Macaca mulatta: one gene and its partner. The protein of the gene in region 2 purifies or fractionates together with the protein of the main gene of each other region. This does not show direct contact. Links are inferred from orthologs where the notes say so. Each region holds a gene or a part of one and is shown on either strand. Other genes may lie near its edges.

What was found.
Region 1: the proteins of RSU1 (region 2) and PARVA purify together in Homo sapiens (affinity purification with mass spectrometry; 3 studies listed by BioGRID and IntAct, counting the BioPlex papers as one, with this or other methods). This does not show direct contact. The link is inferred for Macaca mulatta from reciprocal best matches to the Homo sapiens genes RSU1 and PARVA.

What each region holds. Positions count from the first base shown.
Region 1 is NC_133419.1:53,087,834-53,091,746, reverse strand, and holds the start of PARVA (alpha-parvin), read left to right. Parts: upstream 1-1,187; 5' UTR 1,188-1,245; coding exon 1,246-1,381; intron 1,382-1,455; exon of another isoform or gene 1,456-1,706; intron 1,707-3,913. UniProt on the Homo sapiens protein: Plays a role in sarcomere organization and in smooth muscle cell contraction. Required for normal development of the embryonic cardiovascular system, and for normal septation of the heart outflow tract.
Region 2 is NC_133414.1:18,236,750-18,240,562, reverse strand, and holds part of RSU1 (ras suppressor protein 1), read left to right. Parts: intron 1-2,277; coding exon 2,278-2,410; intron 2,411-3,813. UniProt on the Homo sapiens protein: Potentially plays a role in the Ras signal transduction pathway. Capable of suppressing v-Ras transformation in vitro.

The DNA of each region.
Region 1 (3,913 bases), on a different chromosome or scaffold from region 2:
ACTTCTTTGCTCCTTTCTTTTGTTTCCCTACTCGTCAGCAGGCACGTGGTTAGAAACAGCCACCCCAGTCTTGACTGCGAGTGATCATCAGTCACGAGCACAACTTCTGACAACAGTCTCTCCAGCTTAGTGCAGAGTCTTAACTGGGGCTAGCCAATCGGCTGCTCTTCAGTAAAGCAGTAGCGCCCTTTGGATTAGTTGTTCACCCACGTTCAATCAGCCGTAGCCTAGAGGGAAGGGGCCATAAGGAGGAAACACAGTTGCTAAGGCGCTGTGAGTCCGTGTGTGAGAGAGACAGAGGGACAAACAGCCCGAGTGAGAACTTGAGATGGGCAAGCACAATAACACGTGCCTTTTAATCATTTCCAGTACGAGTCCTTCAAACACTGTGCTTTGTGTGACTCCCCTGTTATCTCAAATGAGTCTGGTTGTCACTCTCTTGATTTTATTTAGCAGGATAAATTCTCGGGGAGGTCCTGTAGGAGCTCATGGTTGTGCTTTTCCCATTCATGTTTCCACTACCATGTGTGATCTTCGTTTATATAAGCTGCTAGAAACACGGATGTCTTACAATAAGCAGCCTCGGCTTTACCCTTGTGCACTCCAGGCTTCTCAGTCTCGGAAGGGAGTAGAGAAGAGGAGGTTGACTATCATGGATAGGTTCAGGAGTGATTGGTTCTGCCCACTTTGGTGGGGCCTGGACGCATTTTGGTTCACTCTAGTAATTTCTTCCAGGAGCTGCAGTCTTGTGGGCGCAAGACGTGGGCCTGATAACTCCACAGGCAGTAGTGCTGGGGAAGAGCGAGCTCACCAGCCCCGGCTGGAAGACCTTGGGAGAGTAGCAGGGTTGGGTTGTTTCTCAGATTTGCTTTGCCCCAGGCTGTGTGATGGGTGCAGAGCCTGGGTAAATGAAGCTTTCCAGCTCGAGCGCTCCCAACCTGGGCACACACGGCCTCCTGTACTGCAAGTGGCAGTTTTGGGGCATCCCCCCTGCTTGGGGCAACCCAGGGGCGCAGGGCGCGGCCCCGGGAGCGCAGCTCCTTCCAGGGCAGAGGGCGGTGCGAGGGAGGGAGCGAGGGAGGGAGCGAGGGAAGGGAAAGGCGAGCGTGAGCTGCCTCAAATGCTTGGAATAATTCCGCTTCCGTTTGGAAAGCCGCAGCCTCAGCCCGCCGCCGCCGCCGCCCGCCGCGTCCGCCCAGCGCCAGCTCCGCGTCCCGACCGGCCCGCGGCTGCCTGAGCCGCGCCATGGCCACCTCCCCGCAGAAGTCGCCTTCTGTCCCCAAGTCTCCCACTCCTAAGTCGCCTCCGTCCCGCAAGAAAGATGATTCCTTCTTGGGGAAACTCGGAGGGACCCTGGCCCGGAGGAAGAAAGCCAAGGAGGGTGAGTGCGGCCAGGCAGGCCGGGCGGGCGGTAGGAGCTGGGGGGTGCCATAGGGGCCGAGGGGCCGGGGCGCTGGGGCCGTTCGGGAGCGCGCGGCGATGAGTGCACGCGCTTCCCGGGCACGTCGGGCAGGAGCGACTCGCGCGCCACACTGAGCCTGGGGCTCGCGGGCCATCGAGGCCGCCCCTCCCGCTTGCGGCGTTGCCCTCCTGGGCCGGAGACCAGGCCGACGCCCCCGCCGGGCAGTGGGCAGGCGCCGCTTGGCGGCCGGAGGCGGCGGGACCGTAGCCCAGGCGGGGCCCCAGACCGCAGGCAGCGCGATCCGGTAGGCCCTGCCCCGCCCTCTGCGCCCGAAGGCTGGCATTTCCCAAGTTTCCGCCGCAACTTTCCTGGGCGCCGTCACTCTCACTCGTTGACTTCATTGGTCCTTAAAATCAGGTCGTTTCCTGGACCTGCTGACGTCTTGTGGTAGCAGCGTCGTGGCGTTGGCCTCTTCGGATCTTTTGTCCATCCCGAGGGCCGAGAAGGGCCCTGTTAATGGAGTAGGTGGACATCGAGTGTTTGTTGAATGAATGAGCGAAAAACTGGCAAACCTAGCGTGCCCTCGGTGTAATACACGATAAACCCCTACCAAAGGAGAAAACCTGCGTGAGACACAAACATCGTCGTGGGCCTCCCCCCGCCCCACCAGAGTGAATTGAGGCGACCTTATTCTTTTTTTTTTTTTTTTTTTTTTTTTCAGGGTAGTTTGCATGTAGAATATTTTTTGCCCATGGGCAGATTTTGCGTCCTGGTTTTTGGTTTGAAAACTGAGGTGGCAGTTCTCAAGAAGCACTGATGTGTAGATAGAAGATTGGTGTGTAGATAGAAGTTGCTGAGTTAAAATTTTTTGTTTTAAACATTTTTTGAATTGACGCATGATGTACATAGTTTTGGGGCACATGTGATTAATACATTCATATAATTTGTAAAGCTCAAGTTGTTACAGGAAAGGGGTCCCAATCCAGACCCCAAGAGAGGGTTCTTGGATCTCACACAAGAAAGCATTCAGGATGAGTCCACACAGTAAAGTGAAAGCAAGTTTATTAAGAAAGTAGATGAATAAAAGAATGGCTACTCCATAGACAGAGCAGCCTGGGGATGCTGGTTGTCCATTTTTATGGTTATTTCTTGATGGTATGCTAAACAAGGGGTGGATTATTCATGCCTCCTCTTTAGACCATATAGGGTAACGTTGCCATGGCATGTGTAAACTGTCATGGTACTGGTGGGAGTGTATCAATGCAGAAGACCAGTGTCTGCACTGATGGCCATTTTGGTTTTGGGTTTTAGCCGACTTCTTTACTGCAACCTGTTTTATCAGCAAGGTCTTTATGACCTGTGTCTTGTGCCGACATCCTATCTCATCCTGTAAGTTAGAATGCCTTAACCTTCTGGGAGTGCAGTCCAGTGGGTCTCACTCAGCCTTATTTTACCTAGCCCCATTCAAGATGGAGTTGCTCTGGTTCACATGCCTCTGACAAAATCAGTGTACTTGGGATATCCATCACCTTAAATATTTGCCTTTTCTCTATGCTAGACCACTGGAATTCTAGATATTTTGAAATATACAAGAGGTTATTGTAAAATATAGTTACTTTACCAATCTAACACTAGGTCTTCTTCTATCAAATGGTATATTTGTAACCATTAATCAACTTCTCTTGCCCCCTAAAAAATGTTTTTAATAGATTGCCCGTGAATTGGAAATAACCTTTTGAAAGCTGTGATGCTGTGTAAAATGTTTCATGTTTGTAAGTCATCTTAAAGTATAAAAACGTCTTCAGTGTTCAGGATTATCAGACTTGAAGAACTAGACTTCTGTTCTTTAGATTGAAATGAGAAGCAGCAAAAACATACGAAAGTTTCCCCACATTGGTTATTTTGGTAACCCACTGAGTAGTGTACAGTTGGTGGCAAATCATGAAACCCTGGCTTGGGAAGCTTTTTTCTAGACCATGTTTCTAACTTATTCCTTACAGCATTCCTGACATAGTCTCATCCGGTTTAAGATGGGGCAACTGAGAAATATTGAAGCTCATGCAATAAAAAATATCTGCTACCAGGAGAACCATCTTTACCTACTCTGTAGAAAGGTTTATTTTATATTTAGCCCAAAATGTATCTCTCTGTACCTATTACTGTTGGAGCCAGAGAATGAGTCTGGGGTGGCCTTTTATTGATACCTTGCTGAAGTAGGCTATCCTGCTTTCTTGAGTCTTCTCGCCACTGGGCCCAACATCCTCTATTCCTCACAGACATAATTTTAAGGTCTTTTGCATCCTGTCTCTTTAGTTTCAGTCAGGGTCCCTGCAGGAAAAAGGCCAATTTGTTGAGATTTTGAAAATAGTTTAGTGAAGGGGCTATTGACAGAGCTGTGGGCAGGGTTAAGGGAACTAAGACGGGATGCTGAGGTCCCTAGGGGCTAGCAACAGGGGGAAGCTCTTAATCACTCAGAGGCCTGAGGGACAAGGGAAGCAAATTGGAACCTAT
Region 2 (3,813 bases):
TTTACCATTATGTAATGGCCTTCTTTGTCTCTTTTGATCTTTGACGGTTTAAAGTCTGTTTTATCAGAGACTAGTATTGCAACCCCTGCTTTTTTTTGTTCTCCATTTGCTTGGTAAATCTTCCTCCATCCCTTTATTTTGAGCCTATGTATGTCTCTGCGTGTGAGATGGGTCTCCTGAATACAGCAGACTGATGAGTCTTGACTCTTTCTCCAGTTTGCCAGTCTATGTCTTTTAATTGGAGCATTTAGTCCATTTACATTTAAGGTTAATATTGTTATGTGTGAACTTGATCCTGCCATTATGATATTAACTGGTTATTTTGCTCGTTAGTTGATGCAGTTTCTTCCTAGCCTCGATGGTCTTTACATTTTGGCATGTTTTTGCAATGGCTGGTACCGGTTGTTCCTTTCCATGTTTAGTGCTTCCTTCAGGGTCTCTTGTAAGGCAGGCCTAGTGGTGACAAAATCTCTAAGCATTTGCTTATCTGTAAAGGATTTTATTTCTCCTTCACTTATGAAACTTAGTTTGGCTGGATATGAAATTCTGGGTTTAAAATTCTTTTCTTTAAGAATGTTGAATATTGGCCCCCACTCTCTTCTGGCTTGGAGAGTTTCTGCCGAGAGATCTGCTGTTAGTCTGATGGGCTTCCCTTTGTGGGTAACCCGACCTTTCTCTCTGGCTGCCCTTAAGATTTTTTCCTTCATTTCAACTTTGGTGAATCTGGCAATTATGTGTCTTGGAGTTGCTCTTCTCGAGGAGTATCTTTGTGGCGTTCTCTGTATTTCCTGGATTTGAATGTTGGCCTGCCCTACTAGGTTGGGGAAGTTCTCCTGGATGATATCCTGAAGAGTGTTTTCCAACTTGGTTCCATTTTCCCCCTCACTTTCAGGCACCCCAATCAGACGTAGATTTGGTCTTTTTACATAATCCCATACTTGTTGCAGGTTTTGTTCATTTCTTTTTCTTCTTTTTTCTTTTGGTTTCTCTTCTCGCTTCATTTCATTCATTTGATCCTCAATTGCAGATACTCTTTCTTCCAGTTGATCGAGTCGGTTACTGAAGCTTGTGCATTTGTCACGTATTTCTCGTGTCATGGTTTTCATCTCTTTCATTTCGTTTATGACCTTCTCTGCATTAATTACTCTAGCCATCAATTCTTCCACTTTTTTTTCAAGATTTTTAGTTTCTTTGCGCTGGGTACATAATTCCTCCTTTAGCTCTGAGAAATTTGATGGACTGAAGCCTTCTTCTCTCATCTCGTCAAAGTCATTCTCCGTCCAGCTTTGATCCGTTGCTGGCGATGAGCTGCGCTCCTTTGCCGGGGGAGATGCGCTCTTATTTTTTGAATTTCCAGCTTTTCTGCCCTGCTTTTTCCCCATCTTTGTGGTTTTATCTGCCTCTGGTCTTTGATGATGGTGATGTACTGATGGGGTTTTGGTGTAGGTGTCCTTCCTGTTTGATAGTTTTCCTTCTAACAGTCAGGACCCTCAGCTGTAGGTCTGTTGGAGATTGCTTGAGGTCCACTCCAGATCCTGTTTGCCTCAGTTGAAAATGCAGAAATCACCGGTCTTCTGTGTCGCTTGTGCTGGGAGTTGGAGACTGGAGCTGTTCCTATTCGGCCATCTTGCTCCGCCCCCAAGTTTCCATTTCTTTACCTACAAAGTAATATTAGTATCTGACCTTACGGATTGCTGGAGAATGAAATGAGGAATGATTTTAAAAGGTCATTAGTCTTTAACACTGCCATGTTAATGAGATTCATTTAGGGCTGATTGCGAGATGTGCTTATGCTCTTATACTTGAGTGACAACAATTTGACTTGGGTAACATTCCTGTCTTTCTCCATTTATACGCTGTCTTGATTGATGAAAAAAGTGGTGTTGATCAGATTGGGTCCAGATCAGCCAGGACAAGGCGTGATGCATACTGACATTGTCAAGATAGAATTTCAAGTGGTTTTCATATTATCACTTGTCTTAATCTTGAACAGGTCATTTTTGTCTCTGCAGCAAATATCTCCTTCCCTCCGCTCTGCTTCCCTTTTCCATCTGTCTTCTTTCTTCCTTCCTTTGTTCTTAATTTCTTGGGCCAAGGTACTGTCATGACTGTGTACCTGTGATGACTCAGGTTAAGAAATTTAAAAGACATCAAATGATCCGGGAGGTACTTAGGGTTTGATTTAGGGTACTTAGGCTGTGTTTACTGAGAAGGACTTCTTAGACCTGCTCCGTATTGGATGAAGTGACCTTCACTTTTTTTTTTTTTTTCCTCCAGGAAACTTGGATTTAACTGGTCAGAAGCAGGTATTCAAAGCAGAGAACAATCCCTGGGTGACCCCCATTGCAGACCAGTTCCAGCTTGGTGTGTCCCATGTGTTTGAGTATATCCGTTCTGAGACATACAAATAGTAAGTAGACTCTGATTTTCTGAAATAGTAGACTGTGATTTTATAGTATTTATAATTATGTCTTTAAAAATATTATGTGACAGTATCCTATTGGTGGCAGTTAACACTTAGCATTTTAAAATGTTCTATTAAAAGCTGCATGTTGGCCAGGTGTGGTATGGCTCACACCTGTAATCCTAGCATTTGGGGAAGTCGAGACTGAAGGATTGCTTGAGCCCAGGAGTTTGAGACCAGCCTGGGCAACATAGCAAGACCCCATCTCTACAAAAGAAAAAGAAATTATCCAGGCATGATAGTGCATGCTTGTCATTGTAGCTATTCTGGAGGATCACTTGAGCTCAGGAGATTTGAGGCTGCACTGAGCCGTGGTCATGCCCTGCACTCGAGCCTGGGTGAGAGAGCAAGACCCTTTCTCAAAAGAAAAAAACAAAAACAAGAAAAACAGCATGTGGTCATTGTCTCTACTTGTAAATTGTTTTTTATTGACATTTTCAAGGGAATTTTTACCGATTTTCTTTAGAGAATTTTTGAGATATTAAATTAGTTGAATGTTCATGGCACTAAGGAAATTCACCATTCAGATGAGAACATATTTTTTTCTTCTGTGAATGCAAAGAATTACAAGTGTTCTGAACAAAATTGTTAAGCAGTTTATTTATAAAATCAGTAGAGAGTACTAGCAATGCGTCATTCTATTACAGAGAAGCTTTTACTCTAGTGAGAGGATAATCTCTTAGAGAAAAGGAAAAGGCAGGAGAGGAAGCGGAATCTGCCGGCTTAAAGTCACAGCACCAAAATACCTCAAGTCCTCACTCCAGGTGAAAGGAGTCTGTGCAAAACTGTCCCAAAAACCTCACCATTCCTGTTTCTTTATTCCTCCATGTGTCAAGGCTGAAAGGAATTCTGCCACTTCCACGTGCTTCTGTTGTTATATCTACCATCATTATTTTCCTACCTTACCCCAATCCCCAGCTGCAAAACAAACTGTCATTTATCACAATGTTTACCTGACCCCAAATGCTGAGATCTAGTATAATTTTAAGCATCTACAAAAAAGACAAAAACATCCACAGTTAAATGTAATCTGTTTTTGTGTCTGGCGTCAACTTTTAAAATTTATTTTTAATTAATTTATTTATTTCTTTAAGAGACAGAGTCCCACTGTATTGCTAGACTGGAATGCAGTGGCACAGTCACAGCTCACTGCAGCCTCAAGCACCTGGGCTCAGGCAATCCTTCCACCTCAGCCTTTCAAGTAGCTGGGACTACAGGCACTTACCACCATGCCCAGCTAATTTTTTATTTTTTGCAGAGACGGAGCCTCCCTATGTTGCCCAGGCTGGTCTCAAACTCCTGGTATCAAGCAGTCCTACTGCTTTGGTCTTCCAAAGTGCTGGGATTAC